Regions from separate parts of the Mus musculus genome. Here regions 1, 3, 4, 5, 6 and 7 are each reported to be linked to region 2. Evidence: microRNA targets listed by miRTarBase, many of them from high-throughput screens and not tested one by one. Region 2 holds a microRNA gene; each other region holds the end of a gene's coding sequence. Distances are from middle to middle.
The links. The annotated mature microRNA mmu-miR-34b-5p reads AGGCAGUGUAAUUAGCUGAUUGU and lies in region 2 at 2,675-2,697, shown strand. An mRNA with a match to its seed (bases 2 to 7 or 8) in the 3' UTR can be bound and repressed. Matches are read on the target gene's strand: a 7mer-m8 pairs with bases 2 to 8, a 7mer-A1 pairs with bases 2 to 7 and ends in A, and an 8mer does both.

Region 1: miRTarBase lists Taok1 as a target of mmu-miR-34b-5p. Seed matches in the 3' UTR shown: 7mer-A1 at 1,249-1,255.
Region 3: the mRNA of Adar is a reported target of mmu-miR-34b-5p. Seed matches in the 3' UTR shown: 8mer at 1,970-1,977.
Region 4: the mRNA of Gnai2 is a reported target of mmu-miR-34b-5p. Seed matches in the 3' UTR shown: 7mer-A1 at 1,721-1,727.
Region 5: the mRNA of Trp53i11 is a reported target of mmu-miR-34b-5p. Seed matches in the 3' UTR shown: 8mer at 1,891-1,898.
Region 6: the mRNA of Gpr173 is a reported target of mmu-miR-34b-5p. The part of its 3' UTR that is shown has no 7-base or 8-base seed match.
Region 7: miRTarBase lists Crebrf as a target of mmu-miR-34b-5p. Seed matches in the 3' UTR shown: 7mer-A1 at 2,809-2,815.

What each region holds. Positions count from the first base shown.
Region 1 is chr11:77,534,089-77,538,165 of GRCm38, reverse strand. It overlaps Taok1 (TAO kinase 1), which reads left to right. Exons shown (of 21, transcript NM_001364134.1): 21 at 1-4,077. The coding sequence ends at 299. Among named protein-coding and RNA genes, the nearest start is that of Abhd15, 21 kb to the right of the region's middle.
Region 2 is chr9:51,102,230-51,106,306 of GRCm38, reverse strand. Mir34b (microRNA 34b) reads left to right here and starts at 2,662; the gene lies at 2,662-2,745. It overlaps Mir34c (microRNA 34c), which reads left to right and starts at 3,197; the gene lies at 3,197-3,273. It also overlaps a transcript of Hoatz not described here and a transcript of Btg4 not described here.
Region 3 is chr3:89,750,531-89,754,607 of GRCm38, reverse strand. It overlaps Adar (adenosine deaminase, RNA-specific), which reads right to left. Exons shown (of 15, transcript NM_001146296.1): 14 at 3,853-3,980; 15 at 1,153-3,679. The coding sequence ends at 3,433. It overlaps Chrnb2 (cholinergic receptor, nicotinic, beta polypeptide 2 (neuronal)), which reads left to right. Exons shown (of 6, transcript NM_009602.4): 6 at 1-1,160. Among named protein-coding and RNA genes, the nearest start is that of Chrnb2, 12 kb to the left of the region's middle.
Region 4 is chr9:107,612,006-107,616,082 of GRCm38, reverse strand. Gnai2 (guanine nucleotide binding protein (G protein), alpha inhibiting 2) reads left to right here. Exons shown (of 9, transcript NM_008138.5): 8 at 258-471; 9 at 985-1,958. The coding sequence ends at 448. Among named protein-coding and RNA genes, the nearest start is that of Sema3b, 4.8 kb to the right of the region's middle.
Region 5 is chr2:93,199,070-93,203,146 of GRCm38, reverse strand. It overlaps Trp53i11 (transformation related protein 53 inducible protein 11), which reads right to left. Exons shown (of 8, transcript NM_001025246.2): 7 at 3,689-3,790; 8 at 1,390-3,361. The coding sequence ends at 3,228. It overlaps Tspan18 (tetraspanin 18), which reads left to right. Exons shown (of 10, transcript NM_183180.2): 10 at 1-1,387. Among named protein-coding and RNA genes, the nearest start is that of Trp53i11, 14 kb to the right of the region's middle.
Region 6 is chrX:152,342,538-152,346,614 of GRCm38, reverse strand. Gpr173 (G-protein coupled receptor 173) reads left to right here. Exons shown (of 4, transcript NM_001359449.1): 4 at 1-3,017. The coding sequence ends at 261. Among named protein-coding and RNA genes, the nearest start is that of Tspyl2, 2.1 kb to the right of the region's middle.
Region 7 is chr17:26,771,160-26,775,159 of GRCm38, reverse strand. It overlaps Crebrf (CREB3 regulatory factor), which reads right to left. Exons shown (of 9, transcript NM_029870.2): 9 at 1-3,868. The coding sequence ends at 3,753. Among named protein-coding and RNA genes, the nearest start is that of Bnip1, 7.9 kb to the left of the region's middle.

The sequences.
Region 1 (4,077 bases), not on the chromosome of region 2:
GCTACCCAGGAGCTTCTAGTTGGTCTCACAATCCTACTGGGGGTCCAGGACCTCACTGGGGTCATCCCATGGGTGGCACACCACAAGCTTGGGGTCATCCGATGCAAGGTGGACCCCAACCATGGGGTCATCCCTCAGGGCCAATGCAAGGGGTACCTCGAGGTAGCAGTATGGGAGTCCGCAATAGCCCCCAGGCTTTGAGGCGGACAGCTTCTGGGGGACGGACGGAACAGGGCATGAGCAGAAGCACGAGTGTCACTTCACAAATATCCAATGGGTCACACATGTCTTACACATAATAATTGAAAGTGGCAATTCCTCTGGAGCTGTCTGCCAAAAGAAACTGCCTACAGACATCATCACAGCAGCCTCCTCACTTGGGTACTACCGTGTGGAAGCTGTGCATATGGTATATTTTATTTGTCTTTGTAAAGCGTTATGTTTTGTGTTTACTAATTGGGATGTCATAGTATTTGGCTGCCGGGGTTTTTGTGGTTGGCTTTTTGTTTTTGTTTAACTTTTGGAAAATTTTTAAAGTGATAATAGATAAGTATTTCATGTATGTGGCAAAAAAAAAAAATTGGCTTAATTAGAAGGGGTATTATCTGAACAATATAAAAACAGAATGAAGCAAGCTAATCTGAATCATCACTTTAGGGTATCCATAGCCTAAGAAATGTGTCAGAAGATCTAAAGCCTTCCTTCATATTCCAGTTCTGTGAGTCCCTAACAGCAGGCAGCATCCATGCTGAAGCACATACACCTCCGCTCCTCACCAGTGGGTTTTCTTTATTTATGAATTGATCTGATTTCTCAACCTCATTTGAACTAAAAAACAAGACCATGAACATTAAAAGATTGCATTTACCTTTTCAGTGGTAGAAAATCATTTAGTTCTTTGCTATAAATGATTCAGAATTTTGTCAGATTTTGTAGGTTGTATCATCGTAAGACGGAGTTGCATAAGGAGATCATAAGCTGTGTGGCTATTGCACTAACAAGCCTGTGAGCTTTCAGAGGGGAAAAACTAGAGGGCGAGAGGGGCCCCTGAAAGTTCCTGTGACAGGGATGCTCAGCAGGGAGGAGGGAAAGCCTGTATAGCTAGCCTGACATTTTGTTTCTTGTACAATATCTCATGTGACCCAAACTTGAGACTCCAAACAGTACCTTTGCTTTGTTTGTACAAAAATGAAGACCTATAGCCAACACAAAGCAAATGCCAGAGGTATTGGATGATGCCATATTTGAACTGCCATCTATTAGCATATTCATCACACTACATAGACATAGTTTTACTGCCCCCTTTTTAGCTCATGGGATTTCCTGTTTACAGGTAGCAATAGTCAATTATTTAACTACTTAGTTGCCACCAGGAGTCACTGAGCCAATGACTATCAGCTGCTGACTAATCTTCACACTGTAGTTATTGCTTCATTTACAGGTCCTCTGTGCTTAATTGCTGTTTTTGTTGCTGTAGTACCTTATGAATTCTTAATTCATTGAGACTTAGTGACCATCTGGGTCCATGTTAATATCATATAATAGCAAATTCCTTTCAGAAGTCTCTAGCTTTAGTGCTAAAATACTACTGAGAAAGGAACTAGGTAGTTTGGTGAATGAAAGAAAACAAAATTTGAAGATATTATGTAGTGGTCAAGGACCACTAATATTTGGGGAGTGTGTTTTGTCTGTTCTTCAATGAAGGATCAATCCAGTGTTCTTCATCAATGTTAGTTAATATCCCATTGCTTGTGTGGCGCCTTGAGTTGGTGGTAGACTAGGGCAAATGCCCTCTTTAGTGAGAGACCAGAGGTTTTGTATAAGTTATTGTCCTGCTCCCTTTTCAGTTGTCTTGAAGAGCTCTTGCTACTAACTTTGGGTCCTGCTTTTCATTTAGGTAGATGGTAAGCATTCTCTTAATCATAATTAGAACAAACTAGTGACCAAATTGTCATCTGCTAGTATGGAAGTTCTTAGTTTTCTTAACCATGCTTTATGTCTTGTCCAGGTATGTCAGTCCAGTTTCCATGACGTACCCCCTTCAGAAGTTTCTGACATTGGTTTGAGGTTTTCTGACACTAATTAAAAGAAAAATTAGATCAGGGTGTGGTAGCAAATGCCTATAATCCCAGCATTTAGGAGGCAGGGATAGGAATCTCAGGTTCAAGGCTGCCTACAAGTGTCTCAAAAAAGAAAGAACAAAAGAAAGGTAGATGCTATAGTATAGGTCCTTTGAAAATCCAATAGAAGGTTAATAGTATTCACACACAGGTCTAGGCAGGGTTTTAAACATATTCCCCATCAGTTTTTAGGTTAACATATACTTGCTATAGCTAATGAAAAGGGCTTTTCTTTTTTCTTTTTCTTTCTCTTTTTTTCCTTTTTCACTCAAAATACTATTAAGGAGTTTCTCAGACAAATTGAAAATTCTATATGTTTTGAGGAAATAAGGGGAAGCTTTAGAGTTTAATAGGATATTCAAAACTATAAAAGAATATCATCTTAAAAAACTGTTCTGGCAACTATCTGCTACCAGAAGGTTAGATTGAGAAAGCAGATCCAATATATGCAAGACATTTCTTCAAACTCCAAACTACTACCAGAAACACATTTTATCACCCATTGTGAGAGTCACTTGGTCAAATTTAGTTAATGAGTCCATTTTGATCATAATGCACTCACACTAGTGTGTTTGAATACTGACTGTCTGTCTGTCCAGTAAGGATTTCTGCCCCCATCTAATTGTGTGGCACCCAGTTTTTCCATGTAGGTCATTATACCTGGATGATAACATCAATTTAGTTACAATGCATGTAGTTTGCACAATGATTAAAATGAATAGGTTTGTGTTTATAGCCTATAATAACTCTAGTTGAATCATGTACACAGCAGGAGTGGTCACAGTAAAAACTGGTAGCAGGAAAATTTGAAAGGGTTTGAAATGCCCTGAAATCAGGGCAAGTACTTAATGGGGAAAAAAAAGCAGAAATGTCAACATTTGACCAAATTAACACTACCTCCTCCCCAGTTGTTGGTATTCATTCATTATATGTGTGTTTAACAGGATGAGAGCATGGCGAGCTTGTAGCACACCAGAGGTTGTAGACCTATATCTGGTATCCAGAACCTGACAGGGAAACAGTTCTTGGTCCCCCTTTTTTGGGGTCAGCATTTTAAAAATGCAAAGCCTATATGTTGAGACATTGTATTCCTAATTAGATTCTCTGTCCTTTGCACATAACTTTCTTTTAAACTTAGTTCTAACCCTAAATCTTGACATCAGAAAGTGTTTGCACTGTATAAACAATGTTAGCTGAAAGCATGTTTATTTTTTAAGGAGCTCCTGCTCTTCTGCACATTTCCATATCTAGAGATGGATAGTCCTGAACTTGACGTCACACCCACAGGTGAAACAGCCCGAAGTCAAGGCCTTGCTAGTAAATGGAGCTTTGTACATAGTCATTGTGATGTCTTGGCTGCCCGGACACCACGTAAACATAACACTAAAGAAACTGTCCTGGAGATCCCATCCTGCTACTAAGAAGTTTTCTGTACATCACTTCCAAACATTGGAAACTTTCAGATCATAAGGCAGAATTTAGTAATTTTGTGCTTCTGTTAATGTCTAGCATTTTAAACATAGGATAACATTGTTTTGGACACTGGAATAATATGATTTATTTTCACCTGTAAAAATGACTTCATTGTACTTGAACACCTTTGCATTTCTCCATTTGTGCCATTTACAAGTGGAAATAAATTTTATTATACCATGATCTACTGGCGTTTTAAAACTGTTAAATGTGCACATTTTGGGTATAGCTATTTTCACTTGTATGTATATATTGTATATACATATAAGTGTCTGTATGTGTGTATAGATGGATTGGTATAACTCATTCTAAACGTGTCTGCCAGGGCTCAAGTTTTATTGTTCTTGCCCCACTCCCACCCCATGTTACAGCAAGACTGGTCTTACAGAGTGAGTACTCTGGGTGATGCTTACGGGAAGGAGATTGGTAGATGCAGTCTTTTTTTCCCCCTTAGCACTTGTATGAGTGAGGAGAAAGTTAGGTA
Region 2 (4,077 bases):
TCTAAAAACAAAGAGGACGTGTACAGACGATGTGCTGTGTGTACTGACAGGAGGAAGTCATCTCTCGATGGCCCTTTTACAGGAGTCATAAATTAAGTCAAGATAAATTTGTCAGATTCACGCAGGAAGTTCTTGTTTTTGATACTTTTCATGGTTTCCTTCCGGTCAATACTATCAACCCATCTCCTCAAAGGTCCTACCCCATCTCCCAGATCAACAAAAACCCAGAAATTAAAGCAGTAAACAGCTCCTCCTCAAGGTGCCTTCCTGGATCTATCTAACCAAATGTAATGGTCTGCTTGGGCATTTTAACCACACCACAGGCATTCTTACTTAGATTAAAACATGAGTCTCCCTGGTCTCTAGACATGCCTAGGCATGACCAGCAGATGCAATAAGATCCTTGGAGTTTCTCTAGTAACTGTGGGCAGGATCAACAGCAACCCTAAGAACAGACATTCTTTTCTATTGTTGCTTTCTAACAGAACTAGGGCACACGCATTTTTTTTTCATCATTTTACTTTTTATCATTGAAGAAAAAAATTTAGTCTAAATTTCAAGACAGTTTATGCAATGATAGCTTTGGATGGAAGCAATAAAACTCAGGTAAGATATTTAAGATGCTACTAATAGAGAAAATCCCTAAGCTGGGTGGAAGCATGACACATGGAGTGAAATTGAGCAAAATGCAAAATAAATGATTTTTTAATGATGTCCTCCTAAAACTTGTAACTCTTCATAGTGTTTATGGGATGGAGGCTATTTCTACTACTTTTATTTATATTTGAACGTTTAAATGACCTTTTGTAGGATACATTATACTTTTCTCAAATACAAGAAGACTGAATACAAGATAGTTATTTACAAATGTCTTTCATAAGTTAATTTTATAATAATCTGGCATTTTCTACTTCATTTTCCTTTCACTTAAGCCTTCATAAAACAATGACTCTGAAGGAAAAAAACATTGTCTTTTACTTTCAAAGATAATGTTAAAATATACACAAGTTTATTCTTGGGAAGTTCTTGGGTTTTAATGGTTTCCACTTGGAATTTGTGTTGAATGTTCCTGATGATTGGCATATATTCATGTAATTAGTGGCATCTACAAGACCATTTGCTGGGCTTACAGGTATCAGTGTATAGCTAAGAAATGTCCCTTTGTAGACTGCAAGACTGTTGGATCAATACAAATGGGTGTCATACAGCATACAGGAAGACCACAGTCTGGGACGGCTACTTCCTACTGAATTCCACAAAGTTTGCAATCAGAGAATACTGTATATCCTCTCTGGGCTCAATTAATTAAAGGAAAGGAGAGGAAAGACTAAAGGAAAGAAATATTAGTGAAGATGGCGCAGAAATGCTGTCCCCTCAGCGCCTCCTATTCCCAATATACACAAACACGCACCCCGTTATCAGATATAAAATAGCAAAAACAAGGGGAATGTAACTGACAGAAGATATGGCTTCTCGGGCTTCTACAGACCTCATCCTTAATGTCCAAATCTACCCTTGCTTCAAGGATCTACCTGAACTCTCACCTCCTCCATGATGGTGTCTGTCAGCTCTTGTTGGCACACCTCCCACCCCCACCCATACCTGTTTTTTTCTATTAGGAAAATCTATCAGTTTAGCAACTTTATACTGTCTGGAGTAATAAATAATGTGTTCACATTTTGTTACCACCTAGACTGTCTGATGGGTAGTAAGACAAACGCCTGTTAGGTGCTGGATTTGTAACATTTAAATAAAACAGGAGCCCAAAGTGAGACTAGATATCCTCAAGGCTCACGGGGAGATCATCAAAACTGTGTCTTTGATCTTATAAGGGCCACAACTTTGACCTACCAACAAGGGTGTTGGTTCAATGTTTGACCAGAAGAGTGGCCCACACTTCACTGTATGGCCCTGTAAGAGGTAGTCCTAAGAAAGAACTTGGGTACAGGCAAGGGCAATCCTGCAGGTATGAGTGCCCAGGCCTGCTCAGGCAGGAAGGCTCCAGATGAGACGCCTGGGAAGCGGTTTCTGAGAATGGGCATATGAACAGTGAGGAGGCCTGGGGCTTCTTGGGCAATATATTGGGAAGGAGAGATGGATGTAGGTCTCTGCGCTTCTTTCTTCGATGTAGCAGTAACTACACTGTGAAGATAAACTTCTCAAGAATCTGTCTCTCCATCTCCCCGGCCCCTTCCCAGGAGGCTCTGCAGGAGCCCTCCCATTGCCCCTTCTGGTAGCTTCTGCCACCCCTCCCCCACTCGCCCCGCCCCCTCGGCCTCGGGGTTCCAAGGGCGGTTGGTCGCTGAGCCACGGTCACTCGGCCAGTAGGAGCTGCGGGGCGCGCGGGCTGGACAGAACCGGCTCTAGACTTGGGTCTGGAAGCCGTGAAGAAGTTGTTGGAGGCGGGTCAGACCCGGCTTGCGGGAAGAAGGACTCGGGCCGGATGCCCTGGGGTCCGGGCTGAGTCGGGGGTCTCGGGGGGGACGGCGGGGACAGGGGGCCTCAGCGCCTGGGGGTTCACCTGGGGTCGCGCGCGGCCCTGCTGGGTGTGGAGGGGCCTCGGGAGCCTGAGGCACCTCTCGCTCCGCCGCCCTCGCCTGTCGACCGTGGCGAAAGGGGGCGAGGGGCCCGACCCTCGGGAGCTGCAGTGGCGGGCGCCCGGTGCTCGGTTTGTAGGCAGTGTAATTAGCTGATTGTAGTGCGGTGCTGACAATCACTAACTCCACTGCCATCAAAACAAGGCACAGCATCACCCGCCGCCCGCGGGAGGAGAAGCCAGCGCTGCAGCCCCACTGACTCCGCAGAAAGCCGAGGCCGGAGCCAGGATGCGTCAGCAAAGGGCCGGGAGCACGAGGTCTAAGTGCAAGTAACCCTCGGAGACCGGCGGCCTCCTTTAGGGACCGTTCGGCTACCTGTGTGTAAGAGCCAGAGCAAAAACGGTTCAGTGATGTGTAAAGAGAATCGGTATACACCGGCCTTAACATAAAAAAAAAAAAAAAAAAAAAGGCCAGGAAGAGCCCCCCCCCCCCCCCCCCCAGAACAGTTCCTGCTGCTGCTGTGATTCACTGCCTGATTTCCACTTCTGAGAAAGCTATCACCAAGGCAGCGACTAGAGTCAACCACAGCTTGGCTGACGATTTGCTCTGGTCACACCAAAGTCTGAGAGCACCAGCTAAAGACTGCATGCTTTTTTCTGAGTCTAGTTACTAGGCAGTGTAGTTAGCTGATTGCTAATAGTACCAATCACTAACCACACAGCCAGGTAAAAAGACTGAAATTCCTCCGACTGAGCCTCCTGTGAATCGTCATTTTGGTGAGGACAGAGCCATAGGGAAATATTCTTACCATACTATTAGTGGTTTGGGGGGGGGGGGGGAACCGCTAGCCCTTAGCTGCTAAGTATACAATGTATCAATTTGTGTGGGGTACATTTTTTGTGATTTTTAGATATATTGGAAAAATAGAAATTATCCCTTAGCTGATTTGGTCATTATATTGACTTGTGATTATAAATCTTTGGACTTTGCCTGACATATTAATAACACTCTAAAAAATAAAGCGCCACGAAAATCTCAGCAATCGTGTTCATTTCCTTTCCAAAAACTGGCTTTAGGATCTCCATTTCAGCTCCTGTCAACCCCGTAAAGTCATTAAATGGTTAGTTGCTATACAGACAAAATCTCCAGGGAAACGTCTCACACATGATTGTGACCTGGAAGGGAACGTTAAATGTTTTCATAATTTTCCATGGGGCAAGGGAACTCAGCCCACTTAACCAGGTATATTTTTTAAGGTATTAACAGTTGCGTTCTAGGCAACTTTTCGTGGGAATAATTAGTGAACACGATTTAAAACCAGCTGGTTTCCTAATATCTGTAATAAAAGATTTGAGAGGTTTTAAATCACACAAGCTGTATCCACCGGTACTTCTCGGCCCAGTTCTAGATTAGCGCTTTATGCAGATGTATCAATGCAAACCTGAGAATTTCCCCAGAGGTAAGAGTGCGAAGCCTTGGCAATCTTGTCCAAAAGAGGAAGGCGCTCTTTAAAGCTCACATTATTGGGCTATCTGGGGGA
Region 3 (4,077 bases), not on the chromosome of region 2:
GGTATCTGCTCCCTTTGTTAGATGCAAAAGAAATGGCCAGGTGGCTAGACCCAGAAGGGACCTCTGGGGAAGACCCTCTATAAGGAACCACCAGGGGTGGTGTGGGTTTGGGCTTCCTCTCCAGTCTGGGTTCTAAAATATCCAGGCTTCAGTGAGCTGGCAGACCCCCACTGCACAGGCTGTGCTCAGATCCTGGGATCAGAGTGAATCTGTGGGTGAGCCCTTGGGGCCTTCAGCTAGGCTTTAAGGAAACCATCTATCTTTAAATTTGAGGGCCAGGGATCAACGGAATCCACTTGTACGTGATGCCAATTTATCCTGAGCAACACTTCTAGCCCACAAAGCTGGATACACCCTCAGAAACTGGAATACTCCATTCCTCGAATTTGGACCCAGTGGCTGCTGGAGGACAGAGCCACTGAGACTTTAGGACAGCAGGAGTTGTCACCTCGAACTGCCTTTAAAACTGCTCAGCTCAGTTAAACAGGGAGTGACTACCACATGAAGCCCTGGACTTAAGTGCTGTGCCCCAAAACATGTCACTGGGTCTTCTGACCTCAGCTGACCCATCTGTCTAAAGGATTATGAGAGAGTTCACACTCAGTGTCTTTGGGTATGTTGTCACTGTTGAAAGGTCAAAGATAGGTCTTCCAGGAGTTCTGAAGTAAGTTACTAAGAGCTGGGTTTCCTTAAAATTTAAGAGGGGGACTTTCGATGCCATCCACAAAGTTAAAAGGTGCATCTGAATGTGTCGTGGTCCCAGCTGCAACTGCCTTCCAAAGGGCACGTACAGGACAGTAAAGGCCGAGGCTTGTGGGGAGAGCAACACCAGCAAGACTGGCAGGAGCAGAGATTTCTGCTGTCTCCAGTGCTGTTTTCTCATTTGGGGCTTTGAAATCTACTAAGCCCCACAACCCCCAAACTAGGAACAAAAGATGACAGAGTGGGCTCAGGTGGGAAAAGTTTTGAAGCAGGGAAAGTGCTGAGGACATAGCCGAGTCCCCAACTGGCTGGCACATCACACTGCCTGAACTACAGTCAGACTGTAGAAGCAGTGGGGCCCTTGAAACTACTGTGGCTGTGGCCAGAGATCCTGTCACAGGTCCCTGTTCCCAATCTCACCTCCCCCAAGAACCAAGATATAAAACTTTGTAACAGTCCTGATGCTTCAGTGTTTTTATTTTTAGGAATGTATACTGTCACTTGTAAAGGGACAGAGGGAGGGACTGCATCCATCACAGCGCCAAGGCTATGCCTGGGTGCTTCCCCACTCTGCTCTTGGAGTCACTGCTAAAACCCCAAGGCCAACAAAGTCCCTTCAACTTGAGTACAGGAAATAGTTTCAAGCATTGACAATTCTTACACATGATTATTCAAGGAATGCAAGACAGCCACGGTTCAGACAAATCAACTACAGAAAGTATTAAGAGACGGTGTGGAGGGAGGCCCTGCTTCTTAAAGTAAACGTGAAGGAAGCACAGTGGGAGGAGGCTCTGCCCTCGGCCAGCGGGACTGGAGGCAGGGTCAGGGTGGGATGCGGGGGTCAAGTCCACAGAACTCAGGGACACCTTGCTCTCTTCCATCTGCAGAAACCCAGAACCACTCGTTGTCTAGACAGGATTGGGGTATGTGTGAATACCCAGGGAGGACCAGAGGGACCAAAGGAATCAAAGGGAGAGACATCTCTGTCCTTTAGACCCCAGGGGAAGAGCTCCCTGTCCAGGCCTGGAAACCACAAGGGCTCTGCTTCAGATGCAGTTGCCGGAGGGTGACACGCCTCCAGCCGACACCACAAGCATGGTGCTGCTTTCTCACTTCCACAGACGCTGGAGTTTCATAGGATGATTTGGCTGTGCAAAGACATCCCCAGTGTATTGTGAAGACACAGGTTCTTGTGTTGGCCAGATCTGTTCATAGATTGAGGAGGCAGTAGCCATTAGACTTGAAGTACGAATGTGATGTTTGCTGTTGGCAGTGGGCCAGAGGGTGGGGGAACCAGGCAGCTCTGAGGGTTAAGCAAGGGGGTGCAGGAAACTGTTGAACACACTGGCCAGCTGTCTCCAGATGGAGCCACACCATTCAGAGGAAAGAGGTGGGCTTGGTCCTAGAGGGGCAGAATGGAGCAGGGTCTGGCTGGTTGATCTGATGCTAGAACCAGATTCTACAGAGGCTCCCACATACCCACAAGTCACTGTCAGAGGGGGAGGAGTCAAAGAAGCCCATCCCAGAGTGGGAGGCCAGCCTGCCCTGCCACCTACAACACTTGTATGTAAATGAAGATCCTCAAAGGAGCAGGGCAGAGATTCCAGGGCCCTGTGCCCTGTCCGTGACCCAGCTTCTGAAGCCATCTGATAGAATGAAAGTACATTTACTAATGGAGAAGTAATATTTGCATCTCCAGTCTTTGATGCAGTTCAGAATCAATGCCTCTGGCCTTTTAGAAACATTAATTCTATGCAGGGCTTTGTCACTTCTGCTGAGACCAGAAGAATCCCAGTGCACCGGCAGGATGCTCTGCCTTTACCTTTGCCGTCTGGGCAAAGCTGCTCTGCCCACTATGCTCACCCTCTGCTTTTCACAAACAGCTGGGGCCTGGGGCCAACACCACACGTGCCCAGGGCCAGCTTCTGGGAGTGCTCATGGAGGGGCAGATGGAGGCATAGCGACATTCCATGGAATGCTGGTGCACTCTAGTTAGTGCTTGTGGACCCCTACTGGGACGTGCTTGGTTTGGGTACCTTCCTCGGTCCCACTGGCCGATTCTCAACTTCCCTGCTGCCCAGGAAGGGAAGTTCCTTGGTGGGCCAGCACGGCCTGTTACTGGGTAGGGCTTGCCTGTCCCAACCACAGTTTACCACATTCCTGTTGTTCGACAATCCCTGACCACGGTTGTCAACTCCTGCCCTTGTAAACATTTCACCAATCCTTTATGTTCACCTCTATCCTCTGGGGTGGGGAAGGAGAAACCTCATCACAGGAAGGCATCCTAGGAGGGAAGGATGACAGAGCAGGGGCCTGCCTGCGCATCTGCAGGTGACATCACTGGCCCCTGACATCATTTACAGAGAACTGATGGGATGGAATCAAACCCACAAGAGGCCAGTGCAGCAAAGGAAAAGGAGATGAAAAAAACCTCCGCAAAACGAAGCCCGAGGGGCCTGGGCTCCATGTGACCAAGAACTGTCTGTGCTACATATGGAATGGTAGCATTTCCATTTCCTTTAATCTTGGCCTCTTCCCTTGAGAAAAGGGAGGTGGGGACTTGGCTGGACCCCACCTTGAAATCCCAAAGAAAGCAGTTCTTGGTACCATCTATTATGGTTCTACCATTAAAAAAGGGGGGAGTGGGTAAAAAAAGCTCCTATCCTCTGGCCCGGTGTGATGAGGAATGCCATGACCGCCCTCTGACCCCAGGAGAAACGCGCCCCACTATCAGTCATTGGGTACTGGACAGAGGTAAAAGTTCTTTTCCTCCTGGGGTTTGCTGATCCAATTCCCATAGCCCATGTCTCGCAGGCTTTTCTTGAAGTAGTTCTTGGCTAAGTCATAGTCACGGGCAGCTTTCTTGGCTTCACCATAAGAGAGCTGCAGTAAATCTCTGCGGGCTCGGAAGGAGCAGAGCTTCTTAAACTGAAGGAAAATATTCTTCTTGGACACCCGAGACAACTCTTTCCCTGGTCTGGGGAAACAAAGGCACGTGTTATTCATCTGGGAGCAGGTGAGGTGGGGGCTAAGGTGTGGATTTTGCACAGGGTGGATGGCCCTGAACTCAGTACTAGCAGGCAGGGGCCTGCCCCTGGGCGTCTGGAAGGAAGCCTGCCTGGGCCTCTCCTGTGCCCTCCCACTCCTTACCCATCCACAGTGCCTCTGGTGCCATCCAGGATCTCTAGGTCATAGCCATCAGCCATGCACCAGTTGACGCTTGTTTCCTTGGTCTTTCCGGACTGTCTTTTGGAATCATAAACACTGACTCGGCCGACCTAGGAACCACGGGGTGATGGAAGAGAGGCAAGCCGTTCAGGGCAAAGGTTCAGAGCAGGCATGCAAGACTTCTGGGAAAGGAGTATGTGGGCCTCA
Region 4 (4,077 bases), 57 Mb from region 2:
CCATGGATGCCCCAATCTGGACAGAAGGAAAAACACAGGACCTGTGGGACCTCACTCAGGAATGCACTGTGTCTACACACAAAAGGCTTGTTACCACCCATGGGCCTCTACCGTTGAGCATACGTACATAGGAAACATCCTTCATACAGCACACGCACTTACACATGACCGTGCTGTGCACATTACATGCTTGTCTGTTGTGGGCACAGAGTTCTGCTGTACATGCACATACACAAGTCTTCATTCGTCTTCCTTAGGGGCCAACAAGTACGACGAGGCAGCCAGCTACATCCAGAGCAAGTTTGAGGATCTAAATAAGCGCAAAGACACCAAGGAGATCTACACGCACTTCACGTGCGCCACCGACACCAAGAACGTGCAGTTTGTGTTCGATGCCGTCACTGACGTCATCATCAAGAACAACCTGAAGGACTGTGGCCTCTTCTGAGGGGCAGTGGACCTGGCAGGATGGTGAGTCAGGGGGTTGTCAAACAACAGGGGTCTGGGGAATTGGGGGAAGTCATTTGGGAGTACTCAGCCTGGAGAGAAAGGGTCAGGCAGGGCAGTCAGGGACCAGAGGAGAGGGAATAAAAAAGGGTCCTGGCACTCTCCTGGACAGAGCTAGAGGGGTGGTCAGTGTTCTTTGGAAGGAGTTGCTTCCTTGCCTCCATGGTATTCTAGCCTAATCTAGATGCAGGAGACCCAGGCACCCCGCTGCTCACTGACCAGGTTCACTCTTGTTCTTAGACTTCTGTCTCTCAGACCTGAGAGTCCTAGGCCCAGGCCAGCCCCACTGGCCCTGGCGTACATTCAGTGACCGCAGTGTCACTGATATACACATCCTGTAACCCAGCAACAGAAGCTGGCCTCTGGGCACAGCTGTGTCCCTGGTAACAAGGAGGTGGGGGAGAAGAAGGTCATTGTTTAGAGAGGCAAGAAGAGGAGCCACATGTAACCCAGGCTGTGTCTGTCATCCACCTCCAGGGCCACCGCTGACTGTGCTCCCCACTACCCCTGAGGAAGATGGGGGCAAGAAGACCATGTTCCCTGCCTGTTCCCCCAGCTGCTTCTCCCATCTTTTCTCTCTGTTCTCAGCTCCCCTGTCCCCTCCCTCGGCTCTAGACTTGGGGGAGGGGTTGCCACAGGCCTCCCAGTCTAAAACCCACCTTTGTCTGAGGTGCCGGGAGTAGCCATGGTACCCCCTTCCTGGGCATCCGTTCGGGTTTTCTAACCGTTGTCTTGTTCTGGGGTGAGCGGGGAGCGCATGCAGAGATCCCAAGGCCTATGTCTGGAGGGTACCAACTCCTCCAGCCTAGACCCCTGGCTTTGTCCAACACCAGCCCTGACCCAAGTCCAAATGTTTACAGGGAGCCTCCTGCCTACCCCACTCTCTGCCGCTCGGAGGCCCCAAAGGAAAAAGCACAAGAAGCGTGAGAGATACCGCCATTCCTGGAGACAAAGCCCACCTGCTCATTCTCGTAGCTTTAAAGAAAAAGAAAAAGGAAAAATAAGGAAAACTGCAAATCTAGAAAACTTTTTAGAGAAACCTATTTAAAACTGTCAGGTCCTGACCAGCACCCCCACCCCAGCCCAGCCCCAGCCCCACCCCTTTCCAGCGATTCCGTGCCTTGAGTGTGTCTGCGTGTTTACACCCATCCCTCTTTGGGCGGCCCCCTGCTCTGCCCTCCACGGAATTGGATTCCAAGGGCTGTTCCAGACAACTGCCAACGTCACTGAGGGCCCTGCTCTGAAGCCCTGGGCCCTGGCTCCATTAACCTAAATGTAGCTCCTTAGCGCTAATCTAGGAACCGCCGCTGCCTGCTGAGGGCCAGGCCCCTCACGCCCTCGCCCCAGGCCCGGGTCCTCCAGCGTTGAACACTTCCTTGCTTTTTTCACATGTTTTATGGAATTGTTCACATGATTTGAAATAATAAAATGTAGAAAGAAAACACCAAAAACTTCCGTGTTCTTTTCTCCTGGGGACTGAGCAAGAAGAAGATATCCCACACCTTAGTGCCACACCTGGGATGGGCCCCTGGACATCAGCTTTCTAGGCAGAGTTCCATCCCAGTTCTCTAGCTTTAGTTTGCCCTCTGGACTGGTCAACTTACATGTTAGAGGCTATGCAGCCTTCTAGTCCTAATTTTGCAGTTTGTGGCCTGGGGCAGCCTTCAGACCTTCTGAACCTTGGGAACTCTTCTAGAGGGTTCTTGAAAGTTCGGAGGAGCAGAGATAGCACAGATAAGTAGGCTGCACTCCTTGGCTTAACAGACTCAGAAAACTAGGGGTGGTGGCATATGCATTTAATTGTAGCCTACAAGAAGGTGAGGCAGGAGATTGACCAAGAGTTCTAGACCAGCCTGGGCTATATATTGAAACTCAAAAAAACCAAGTTGCGGGCTGGTGAGATGGCTCAGTGGGTAAGAGCAGCGGACTGCTCTTCCGAAGGTCCGGAGTTCAAATCCCAGCAACCACATGGTGGCTCACAACCATCCTTAACGAGATCTGACTCCCTCTTCTGGAGTGTCTGAGGACAGCTACAGTGTACTTATATATAATAAATTTTAAAAAAACAAAAAACAAAAACCAAGTTGCCTCTAAGACTCAAGGAACATTGTAAAATCGGGACGAAGAATATAATTGCAGAAAGATAGGATGTAGTAAAGCACTCTTCCCACTGGATGGGGCTGGTTAACATCCTGTCATGGAATGAGGAGGTGGCTCACCCCCAACTGTCCCCCTAACTGAGTGATTGAGGAAGGAAGAGACATTGTCTTCAGTATTGTAGCTCCTGGTAAGGTATCCATAGTCCTGGAAGCAACCCTGTGGAGAAACTCTTTGAAAGTGGAGGAAGGGGCAGTTGGAAAGGGCCGGGGGTCAGCAAGAGAGTAATAGGTAATAGGTGTTAGTAAGACAAAAGTGCGTTTTATACGTGCTGAAACGTTATAACGAAATTCATTTTGTGTAATAAGTGCCAGAATACCACGTCGCCAAATCAGAGGGGTGGGGACAGGCTGTCAAGGAAGGGTTCATGGGGGTCTGTCATTGGCTGCATTGGAAGGTTGATGTGGAAAACAAAGCTAAGGGAAGTGCTGAGTACTGGGCGGAGCGCAGCGCTAAATGCCTGGGTTTTCTTCCAGGAACTGCAGGGGCAGCCGCGGGCAGCGCCTGCTACCGGGACGGCTAGGCGAAAGACCGGCCCCAGCTGGGCGGAGCTCCGAGGCCTCTGCCGCCGGCCGCCAGGGGGCGCCTCAGCCCGTCCTCTCCGCAGCTGCTGAGCTGGTCACGCAGGCTGACGTCACCGGGTCCCGTGGAGGACGCTTGACACAAAAGCAGCTTTGTGTGGCATTGGAGGCTCCGCGCCCGCGGCCTGACAAAGCGGCTGGGTCCTGGGGCGGGCGGGGGTCGGCGCCGCGGAGGCGGGGGAGGGAGGGAGGGATTGGACCCGGGACCTGGGACTTCGCCTCCTTACACCTGTCAGTGGCCACAGGCCACCGGGCCTCTGATACTGGCAGGAGATGAAAGGTTGTGGCGGCGAGTCGGAAGGAGTGCCTGCTCTTCCCTCGGCTTCTCCCCCGCCCCAGTTCCTCAGGCCATTCCGGCTACCTCTGCCACAGGGTACAACTGACAAGAACAGGATCCTGTGCCATCCCCAAATCCCTGTCTTTCTTTAGAGGCTCGGGCCTGAACCCCAATGTGCGCAGGCGGGCTGGAGCTATTCCAGAGTCACCATACCCGCCCATCAGGAAGCAAACACCGGAGATGGTTCCTTCCTTCTGTCCTGAGGGGAACCCCGCACAGAGGGCCATTGAGAAACTGGCATTGTCTGCCTGATGCACCCGGTGCCTCCCTGCCTGGGTGGGCCATTTAGGGCTCTGTCCTGTATCCCCTAGGATCTCACTTGGCACTGGGTCTGGGTGTGGTTCTGGCAAGCAGGGCTTACCCTGGTAGACAGTTAGGCCCCCACCTGCCTTTGGCCTTTCTACTTCAGCTCTGACTTGGAGGGCATAAGGCTCCATTGTCCCAGGACTGGTGGGGGCGGCTTCTCAATTCAGCCTTTCTTTGCTGGTGGGAAAT
Region 5 (4,077 bases), not on the chromosome of region 2:
CACACACACACACACAAACAAACACCCCAGACTAATAGGTTCACAACCAACCAACCAACCAACACCCCCCCACACACACACACACACACACACAAACTTGAACTGCAGGCTAGGTTAGCAACTAGTTGCAAGATGCCTGACCCTGCCAGGACCGTGTTGAATCCATTAGTGTTGTCTGTCAGGATCTCAAATTTGATTAATTATGTCTGCCAAGGGCACAAAAGGGGAACAGTGGTGGAAGGAACAGCTAGGTGTCTGCTCTCCTCTCTCAGATGGAAGAGCCTGACCTGAACTCCAGCCTTCCTTTGCCCTTCTGCCACCTGGGAGTCATAGCCATAGCCTGTTCTATTCTGCTGTCTGGGTGCAAGGGGGGCTACTTCTCCCATTTTCTCTCCTCTTTATGTGGTCCTCACCCAGCCTGGCCTTCCGGGGAGTGGGTGTCTCTGAATGCTATACGGAAGTTGTCTTTATGACAGCTTAATTGGCATCCCCATAGTAAGCTCCCTAGAGGCTGAGTCACCAGATCAGGGGGCCCCTCTGCTGGCTTGCACCCCCAGACTAAGAGGACCCAGGCTGACTCAGAACCCAGCACGTACTGGACTCCAACTGTCTAGGAAGGCAAATGGCTTGGCTATTGATTGGAAGTTCATGGCTAGGTTGAGGACTTAGCCCAACCACAGCGGCTGCCACCCAGAACTAGCCCAGGCTTCCAGAGATGGGCAGGGCTGGGACAGGGAGGGACTGAGAAGCCAGATATGGAGCCTAGGCAATTCCAGGGCAGATCAGAGTCCCTCACCAGAACTTTCCACACTTACGCTGAAGCGCTCCCAAGTAGCCCTGATTCAACCCAGCTTCTCAGCATCCTCATGGGGCCAGACAGACACAGTCTTCACCCTCTGAGCTTGCTGGTAGCCATTGCAAGGCTGTCTGAGGTCATCCTGGTGGGGCTTGGTGAGCTGCTCTGTGTACTCCCAGAGGAATGGAGGGGAGCTCTTCCTTCACCCCAAGATGCCTCAGCCAGTAGTGAGCAGAACAGCCACTTCCTGTCCCAGAGCAGTGGCCTAAGGGACAGCTGTATCTGACAGGCGAGGAGCTAAGACTGGACCTGTGGCTCATGCTCCCCATTATCCTGTCCCAAGCCCCTGGCCTACCTGGGTTCTGAACCCAGCACCTTCATCCCCAGGAACTCTGATACACACACACACACACACACACACACACACACACACACACACACACACACGTCATATGCTAAAGTCTATTTTGGAATTTGTAAATGTCCCTTGCAGTAGGAAACAGAGCTAATTTATCATTGTATCTCCCAAGTCTCCCCTTTTTATATTCTATATTAAGAGAAATTTTGTAATATAAAACAGGACACCACGCAGATTGTTTCTCATTGGTTGTTTTTTGTTGTTGTTGTTGTTTTCTTGTGACTGTTTCTTACAAAAAGAAAAAGGGACCAAGAATAAATAGTGACCATGACAGAGGCAGTCTTGGGGGCCAGGCAGAAGCATGACAAGAGGAGCTGGGGATGGGGTGGGGGAGAGCAGTCAGGGCACTCTGAGCCCAGACTCAGAGTGGGGCTCTATCTCCATCACTGCCTCCTTCCAAGCAGGTGTCTCCCGGAGGCCACATATGCCTTGACCCCACCCACCTAAATGTATCACTGCAGTTTAACCAGGGTGACCTGGGCTCCTGCTGCTGAGGGGAAGCCTGGCGGATGTCCCTGCAGGCTGCGCAGGGCTGGCGTCTTCCATTTCTACGACTACCTCCCTTGGGACTGTATCTGTATTTGTGGAGGATTCAAGATGATAAATCTTCAACACCTCTGAGAATGGTGTCAACAAATGTCACCTGGTCTACGGTAGTTGGGACTGTACTAAGAGCTGGCAGTGGCAGGGTCCATGGTCCGAGTAAAGAGGTGGGACTGAGGGACTGGCACCAAGCCAGTGACAAGAGGCAGGTATACACAATGGGCCCTTCCTGAACACGCAGGGAATCGCTACTCTGCCAGACCTTGGTTACAGAAGCAGCCCCGGCCACTGCTGGGCACATCCTCCACTGAGTTCCCTCCACTAGGCAAAGGCCATGGTCACAGAGCACTTGGCAGCAGGAACAACCGAGCCCAGGGAGGCTGTGAGCCCAGGTGCCCTAGAGAAAGATTCCTCGGGTATAGGGGACCACCCCCTTGCAGAAGGGAGAAGCCTCGGGCCAAATCTCTTAGTGTGCTTGCTGCTGAAGGGTAGGGAGGTGCTGGGAGCTAGGGCCAAGGGGAGGGGCCACACAGGCTGGTGGCACCAGGGGTGTGTCTTCAGCTCTAGAGGCCCACTTAGGGGCTGCTAAGGGATGGCAGACTCTTGAATCTCCTTCCGTTGTTGCATGTGAGCAGCTATTGGCTTTAACCCGTAGGCCTTGGGGCAGCCTCAGGAGGGGATCTGGAGGAGGCACTGAGCCAGGTGTGTAGCCATGCAGGCCTTGGAGGCCATGCCGAGGAAATGTCCCCACTTGTCCTCTCCTCAGAATTCCTCATGCACTAGGAGCCTATGGGCAGCTAGGAGCCAGGGACTATCAGGCCTGTGGTACATTGCCTAACCCTAGCCTGTCGGGAAGGGACTCTGGTGCTCTGGGACGCAGGCGGCCAGCCAGAGAATCAGAGTACCCTCCAGCAGGCCAAAGAGAGAGATGTGCAGGCTGAGGCTGGGGAACTTGGCCCAAGGGAGGCAGTCACTCCCCTTGCTAGATGTCCTCAACTGGATCTCTAGAAACACCGTGTGTGTGTGTGTGTGTGTGTGTGTGTGTGTGTGTGTGTGTGTGTGTGTGCGTGTGTGATGAGGGACTCACACATCGGGTTTCTGGATGGGGAGAAGCTGAGAGCCCCTGCTGGGGCCGACACAACCTCCTAGAAAGGGCTTCCTGGCAGAGGAACTCACCTTGACTCAGCCCAGACCCTAAAACTTACTCTAGACTCTGCCTGTTAGAGTCTAGAGGCCAAGAAACACAGGGCAAGGAGTTGTCCCTGCACAAGGGTGAGGGGTGGGGTGCAGAGGCCACAGCCTGGTCTGTCACTCCTAGAATCCCAGGAGACCCAAGATGACTCCGTGGAGTGCCTGGGAGGGAAGGAAGGCGTGTGCACCCTGCCTGCCTGCAGGCCTGTCTAGGACCCATGGACAGTGAAGTCCCCAGCTGCTCGGGCCCAGGTCCAGGCCCAGGCAGGTCCCAGCCTGCTACACTTTTTTGGGTTTCCGGCCGACTTGGTAATAGTAGTAGATGCTGACAATAACAAAGAGGAGGCGGCTGGCCAGGAGCAGCACGGTCCCCAGGGACATGAGGCCCGTCTCAGCAAGCGTGGCAGTGACCACTGTGAAGGAAGTCGGGGGAGGCAAAGGTCAGGAGCAGACACGTGCTTGAGCCTCTCCCATCATGACGCTAGGCTAGGCTGAATACCCTCGACCATCCCTGTGGTGAGTGGGACTGCAGGCTGACGACCTCCAGAAGCCTAACACCAGCCTAGGCCAGTCTGCTGCCCCCAAGTGGCAGGTGCCTAGAAGTGCATCCTGAGTGTCAGGCTTGGAGGGAACGGCTGGGCTGTGGATTCAGGACACTGGTCTATGTTGTAGGAGCACCCAGTGCTCTGCCCTTCTCTTCCTGCACCCTGATAGCCTTCCCACCACCCTACACCACTCACCCAGGGACTGCACCCCGAAGTAGCAGGCCTCAGTGAGCAGAGTCCAGCGGATGATGACCTTCTCGGCTGTGTAGAGTGCGTTCCACATGATCAAGGAGATGCCTGTTGGAATCAAGCACCGGGGCAGCCTGATCCCTAGCCCAGGAGTCCGAACCCACTTATTCCACAACACCCACTTCTCAGACCAGACGGCCCCTCTTCCGGTCCTCAGCTCTTCAGCTATAGCTTTCCCCCCAGAGACAGCTCACATTGCTTCTAAAGCCCTATCCAACCCAAGCCAGGTGCTCATCTCCCCAGGACTTGGTATCTTTATCTACACAATGGGGCAAGGGCCTCCAGGCCCAAGCTACCTCTGCCATTGCCAGGGCAGTGAACCAACTACATGCATT
Region 6 (4,077 bases), not on the chromosome of region 2:
TTCTACGCGATTACACTGCTCTTCCTGCTCCTCTGGTCACCATACATTGTGGCCTGCTACTGGCGAGTGTTTGTGAAAGCCTGCGCTGTGCCCCACCGCTACTTGGCCACTGCTGTTTGGATGAGCTTCGCCCAGGCTGCCGTCAACCCAATCGTCTGCTTCCTGCTTAACAAGGACCTCAAGAAGTGCCTGAGGACTCATGCCCCTTGCTGGGGCACAGGAGGTGCCCCAGCTCCCAGAGAACCCTACTGTGTCATGTGAAGCAAGCCCGTAGGTGATAGGCAGGGGGAAAGTCAGAATCACCATACGGGGGCCAGCAGCAGGGGAAGGGTGGGACCCATACAGAAGCCTTCTCTTTCAAGCTTCAGTCCAGGCTCTCAAACCATCCATAACTGAGGCAACTCGCCAACACCTCCCTAGGGTTGGAAACGGGGTGAGGAACTGGAAAAGAGGCATTTCTAGTTTTGTGGGGATTGTCCCGCAGCCTCCTCCACTTCAACAATCTCCTTTTCCCATGCCCTCCCTGCCTTCCCTTCCCTCTCCCCTCTCCTATCTTTCTAAAGTAATGATTCAGTAAATGAAAACAAACTGAAAATGCAGGGTTTTTAATAATAACAGCTGAGGAAGTAGGCTCTCTTGCTTAAATGTCCCCCCTTTTGACATTGTCAAGAAATGGGAAGTTTCTCCTGTAAAATAGATTCCCAGAGATCGTATCGTCCCCTGGGCTCCCATTCACCCTCCCCTTCCAAATCCTTTAGCAAGACTTGGATGTTTAGGAAATATTGGCTTAAGTCTTCAGACAAGAGGGACCAAATGGGGTGCTATATTCCTTGGGAGCAAGGATGTTTAAATTGCTATGTGCTATGTGCAATGTTGTTTTTGGCTAACCTTGGTCCAAAGCCCAATCTCCAATCCCTCCCTACCATGTCCAGACTTCACAGGTGTTTCTTGAGGCTGTTTGAGAAGCCAAGAGCATACAAAGAAGAGCCTCCATGATGTGCCCAGGCTAGATGAAGAGCAGAATGGGGGATGGGCTCCTCAACCAGAATATACCAAACTTAGCTACGTTCACTCAAGCTTCCTCCAGGAATATATAACTAACTTTTCCTCCTAGGAATATATATCCACTTTAGTCCCCATTAGGGATGATGTGGGTATAAGCTGACAGGGAAAGTCACCCATGGGGAAATAGTTGAACTCTCCAGAGTACCTAGAGCCCAGACCATGGGGTCAGAGCTAAATTCAACCCCACAATTATCCCTTGGGTTCACAATACTCCCCCCTAAAATAAAATTCTTTGGAGACCTTGATAATCAAAAGTTATACAAACTTCAAGGCACTGTGGAATTGAGTCCATTTCTGCTTGACCTCTTTTTGTCCCTTCCAAGCCTCACAGTCCTTGAGCTCCTCCTTGGTTGGGCCCCAAACATCCTTCCCAGAAGTTTTTTCTCCATCCACTCTTACAGGTGGATGGTCCCAAGCCTCTTTTCCATGGACAAAAACCACTTTGGGCTTACTTCAAGGCCAGTTCTACAGACTGGTGAGCCAAGTTGGAACTCTTTGCCTAAGTCTGGGGCAGTGATCTCTCCATCTCCTTTCCTTCCTTATAAACTCCTGTCCTAAACTCCACCTCTACCCCAAGATAGGCCCTGAACTGAGGTAGTCTTGACCCAAAAGCAATGAAGGGGGCACTCTAGGCAGAAGAGATATTGATGACCCTGGTTGTGGAGTGGCCCTGGAAAAGCAAGCCAGAGGAGCTGAGAGGCTGGGAATGTGTGTTTGGGGTGGGGCTATTCTCTCAGTGATGATGATAGAAATGCCTTTCTGAGGGCTGGGGTGCAAAGACCAAGGTGGGAGGGCAAATAGGGTAAACTCGGGAGGGTTTTCCTCCGTTTCCTTTTTCTAACTGCCTGGATTCATCATTGGATTTTGTAAATGGAAAAAGTGAAATGAACAATGTTATATTGGATGTTCTCTCTCTCTCTCTCTCTCTCTCTCTCTCTCTCTCTCTGTGTGTGTGTGTGTGTGTGTGTGTGTGTGTGTGTGTGTGTGTCCATGTCTCCTATCTGTGTATGATCACATGAGGAGGTATGATTGAATGAGATAGTGTGTGTCTGTGTGACTTTGTGTGGGTAAGAACCTCTGAGGAAAACTTGCCTGGTACACATATGTGAGCAAATACATATATGTGAAGAAATAGAGTATACACACACACACATACACACAATGGAGAGGAGACAAAACTTAGTATGTGCCTGCAGCAGGAAATAGAGTGCTTAGGAGATGGAACCTGAAATTTTTCATGTATGTATGTGTCAAGAGAGTCAACTCCCATCTCATAAAGTTGTCTTCCTTTGGCCCAGCTTCTGAGCACCAGGTAAGGAGAGAATACTTTAGAACCCCATCTCTTCCCAATGTCTGGAGATTCAATCCTCACCCCAAATTTCAAACAAGGTATTTCTTATATTAGACCACCATGGAAATAGGAACTGGGAATAGGGGAGGGATCAAACATGAAGGCAATGGGGTTAAGAAATGGCCCCCTGCAATGTAATGGCTTTTAGAGGAACTGCTCAGCCTAAACTGCAAGTCCTTCTTACGGTTCCACTGTATACAGCTGGGACTTGGTTTAGCTTTGACTAAATTCAGAAGGAAAGATAACATAACGAAAAAGCCCAAGTCTGGGGATCTACCCAGCTGGCCTACTCCCTAAGCACTCAATTAATTTACTATTTATTTACTTATTTCTTCAGGTGCACAGAATTGAGCTGACCCTATTACTCAGTTCTTGGCACACTCTATCATTGGTCCATGCAAGGTCCTTTTATTATTTTGCTTTGTCCCCTTCATCACCCATTCCTGATCCCATCCTTCCAACCCCACATAGGCACCGCTCTTCAGTACTTAATGTGTGTCCTTCCAAACCACCGTTCATGTGTTTATTTACTTATGTGTATCTGTGGAAAATATATGGTATTGATGTGTTTTAATTTACATAAACAGTATTGTACTATAAATCTTGCTCTGTTTCTTTTTTCACTTAACATTCTGTTTTTGCGAAATCCAGCCATGTTGCTATACATAGATCAAATTTATTCTAGTAGTCCATCTAAAACACATATCACATCCATTTTCCTGTTGATGGATTCTGAGGTTCCTTCCTCTGCTACCACAGCAAGGCTGCAATGGGCAATTATCTCCTCTCCTTAGGAATGTCTAATGTAGAAGAAACAAGCTCAGAGAGGGGCAGTGATTTGGCTAAAGTCACAGTGGAAGTCACCTGCTATGTGGATTCTAGAACCAGAGCCAAAACTCCACCATCGTGCCTCATCAAAGACCAGCCATTTCTGATCACAAACAAAATAAAATATAATATTAGGGTACAATTAATAGCCGCATTCATTTAGGAAAAGCTGGGGTAGAAATTATGTGTAGACAAAGAGAATTTTAAAGTTCTAGAAAAATCTAGCACATTAGTTGAATCACCTTTTTTTTTTTTTAATGACGCAGAGGAAGTTACTCTTTGCATCTGTGGAGCCATTTTGCAGAAATAGAAAAAGCCATGTCAAAACCTGACCACCAAAGCAAAAAGACCTCAGATATTTAAACTACTAGCAGTTCAAAGCAGCCTGCGACTGAGGGGCTACAGCGCTCACCCCACAGGCATAAACTGGTGGGGGAAGGGACAGATTTTAAAAGTGCGTAGTTGTTGGGGGAGTGGGGCGGGGAGAATGATAGCGAGGCTCTCTGATTTCATTTGAGCACATCTCGTTCCCTGGTGCTTGCGCACTCCCAGCCACCCTCCCCGGGCCTAGTCTTGTGGTCTTCAGAATCACTGGTACTTTTCCCATTGGCTAAAACATTGCAAGACTGAGGGTGAGGGGGCTCCTACCCTAGCTTTCCTCATAGCCAATCGCCCCGCAGTTTTCCTCTCATCACTGAGGGGCAGTCAGCCTGATGATTGGTGGGCGCGAAGGGAGCCAATTAGAAAATGATGATGTGTAGTGTTGGCAAGCGGATTGCGTGAGAGAAGGCAGGGGCTGAGGGAACGCTACCGCCAGCTCCGAGGCCTGCAGC
Region 7 (4,000 bases), not on the chromosome of region 2:
CCATTCTTGACATTTTGGTGAATAAACTAACAGCTTTATTAATGAAGGCAAACATCAGATAATTGTATGAATATTATATATAAAAGAGAACTTCATACCAATAGCATTGTATTTCAAAAGTACTGTACTTCAGTTTCTTTTAAAGAGACTTGTCATCTGTTGTAAAAAACAAACAAAATAGGTACTCTTCTCCTAAAAACTTCTGGAAAACAAAAGAATCACTTTCGAGCAGATGAAGTGAGCACATCTGCCTGTAAATGCAGACTTGCTAAGGTGTGAGCGAAGCCAAGCATCAGAGACGCAGGACAGCCTCACAGAAGCCAGAGAGAAGGACGTAACACGATTACTCAAAGATCATTCAAAACTGTTCTCTCCTACAAGTATAAAACAACTACAAAGAGAGGGAACTATGAAACGACGCCCATCTGAAATCCTTCATGATGCTTCTGGAATAGTTGTGATTCTCTTACAAAAAGAACAGAGTTAAGGTTTGGGAATGGGATGGAAGGAATGAAGATGCATCATTTAAGTGTACAAGTAAGGCACAAGGTTAAGCCACACCCAACTCGCTCATGAAGGACATGGAAAGGATGAGGACCCACATACATGGTACAGCACAGCAAGCAACCACACTGATTGCAAGACTCACAGGAAACTTATGTAGGAGCAGCCCGGCAGCATGCTCTCATGTGGGCACAGACTAAAGAATCCAGTGTATCTGAAGCCAGGAAGCAGAAGGTTCATTGTTATTTTTTACTGTAGTAGTACTGTAGTCAGTTTATGGTTGCCTTTGGAACGGTGGGTTGATCTGAGGAGAATTCACAATGCCTTCCTTCACTTAAGGGAAGGCTCTGGACTTCATGAGCTCTCTGTATACCATGTATGAACACAGAAAACCTCTAGACAGCTCTCACTCTAACGATTTCCACCCAAAAATACAAACCACGATTTTTTAAAATACAACATATACAACTGCTGGGTTTTTACACACTTGTGAGAACCGCCTGTGATACACTAGGTGTAGGATATTTTAAAGACAATAGAGGAAGCAGTTCATTACTGGCATTAAAAGTACAACCATTTCTAGACGGTTTTAAATGCCACAGAGTCCCCTGGTTAAAATGTAAAGCTGCACAGCTTGCCTATGTCATCTTAAACAGCAAGAGGATTTAACTTGCACTCTACATTTTACTGCCAGGTTTTTATTTAGATCAAGTATCGCTGCAGCGTTCTGACCAGCCCAAGTTTAGCAGCAAATGGCAGGAATCATATAAAATGCAATTTTATAACAAAGTGCTTTCCTAAGATATACATACATATATAAATAGGTACAAAATAAAGAGTCAACATTAAAAAGCTCAACTATTTAAAGGCTTTCAACTATTTAACTTAAGGAGTACATATAAAACACTGAAATGCACGGGTATGGAATCTACTAAACAGATTCAAAGTGTTTTGAAATGCAAGACCAAAAATCAAATTCTGGTTTGCAGACAAGAAAAAGGTATCAAAAAACCAGAATTCCTAAAACAGGGTAGCTAGAAAGGGGCAATTTTATAAACTTCGCCAACTGACTCGCGATCATGAAGTGACAGTCATTTGACTGAAAACCGCCAGGTTCTGGAACACTTTCGAGACTTCAGACACTTCCATTTGTGAACCTATGGTTTGCCTTTTCCCACATAGAAAGTAAAACTTTAATTCTGTTAACCATGACACGTGAGCTTATTATCTGTTAGGGTGGATGAACTAAAGGTACATTTCCACCAAACACACAGGAACCTTGTCACAGTTTCAGCTAACGTGTCAAGACAAGTCTTGGTTTCTTATGATTCATGATGTCAAAGAGGCAAGTCAGACACATTTTTGGATTGTAACTGTGTTTTCTAATTGAAACTTCATGTGCTATAGCTTACAAAAGGGGAGAAAGAAAAAGGAAAGAAACTCCTGTGCAGACAGACCAAGGACAGCTATCTTAGTTCTATCAAAAGGTGGTGGAGAAACAGCAACTATGTCTGACATCTCAGGCTTTTCTTCTAGATATGTTTGTTTTTACTTTTGAAGCCACCAGTTTTCATAGTTCCAAACACAAGATCTGAGATAAAACAGTCAAGAAAGACGGGATGGAAGGACCTGTGGGGCATAGGAATCTCTCATCAAGAGGCAAAGCTTGAGCACAGCTACAACTGACCACTAAAGCAAAGAAGAGCACCTAAAACTAAGCGTGGTCATGTTTCTCAAGTCTAGAAACTACACAAGATAAGTCACATGTAAGTTTGAAGAAAATACCTGTACAAAAATATAAAAATTTATAAATTTGTTTTAAGCTTGTGTTGATCTTTGAAAATATTACATGCACAATAACATCAATTGGAAAAGTGGCAACTAAAGTATTAGATATTTTTAGCTTTTTTATCTCTTTACATATATATATACATAATACGATAAAAATAATCTGTATTTTGGTTGTTTGGTGGAAGTATACTACAATAAGCTAAATAAACTTTAATTTTCAAAGTCAAAAACTATTTTATCAATAGCTTACTAATATGAAATATATTAAAATTTCCTACAATAACTGCAGAAATAAAAGACACCTAAGTGGCCACCAACTTATCTACTATGGAAGCAAACTAGAGGACAGCAAAATAATATTTGGATGTATGGATGCTCCTTCTGTAGATAATTGGACCCAAACAGAAATAAAGTTCACAGTTGAGTAAGATCCCTAACCCTGACCTTTTAATTTTTTCTCTGTTTCATACATTCATACAGTATCATGTAAGCTGTGCAAAACTTTACTTAGACTGGCAGTCTGCCATACCAGTTGCATTTGTCTTTGGTAGAAAAAATAAAACAATCGCAATAATGTGCAAGTATTTTCTTCCGGTCAAGTACCGAAATAGGAGTTCTCTAGAGCCATCTTTTTTTGTTTGTTTTTGTTTTTTGTTTTTTTTTTTATACAATACACAGACTCTGTGGCATATATCTACATTTTGACATAGTCCTATATACATTCAAAAAAATCTGAAAAAGAGTTGGAACAAAAAGACATTTAAACCCCATAATTTTCTCATCTATATATCTTGGTTTTCCTCATTAGGATTTTCATCATACAAAATATTACCAGTTTTAGAGTTTCCCCAAAATACAAGGCACAAAGAGTATGCTTTTTCTTACTTGCACAGACAATTCTATATATATATATGTATGTATATATATATATATATATATATGTATTTTTATATATCATATTGAGTTCTGAAAAACATCTAAACATGGTACACACGTGAGTGCTGGGTGCGCCATGTACATGTGAGATTAATGGCTGTAAAAAATTAGAACAAAAAGCAGTCATTCTAAAAACAATCTAAATGGACTTTGAAAAAAAATGCTTCCTCGGTATTTTTGTGTGGTTCAGAGCATAAACCCACCTTAACACTCAGCATTATACTAATATATTCACTCACCCAAAACACTCTGCTTCAACAAATGTTTACAATCTGTACCTCATATTTACTTAATGTGTGAGCTTCTTTCTCATGCCAGCAGCAGGGTCACTGGTTTATGCTCTGAAAATGCAATAATCAAGTATTTTGGATCATGCTTCACTTATGCTATTGTTTTTAAAACAATGTAACCTAATTATAAATGTTTACATAATGCTAATTGACATGCAAAACAGAATGAAAATTTACAATGGATAACATGACAAAAACAGACATTTCTGACCAGTGGTCCAATGAGGCTGATTACACTTTTGATGCTGGTATCCTTAGTCCTACAAGGCCTCCAGTGGGGTTGCCTTCAGCAGTCTTCCCTAACACTTGGTTAACAAATTCTGAGGTTTGCCCAGCGACTGGGAGACCTGAAGAGAATAAAAGGCACACTTTAAGACACAAACATGGAGAAGGCATAAAGGAAAGGGAAAAAGTCTGAAAGCTGATATTGACCCCAAAACAAGGGCTCCACTACTTGCTACTGCAGCCCAGAAAACCAT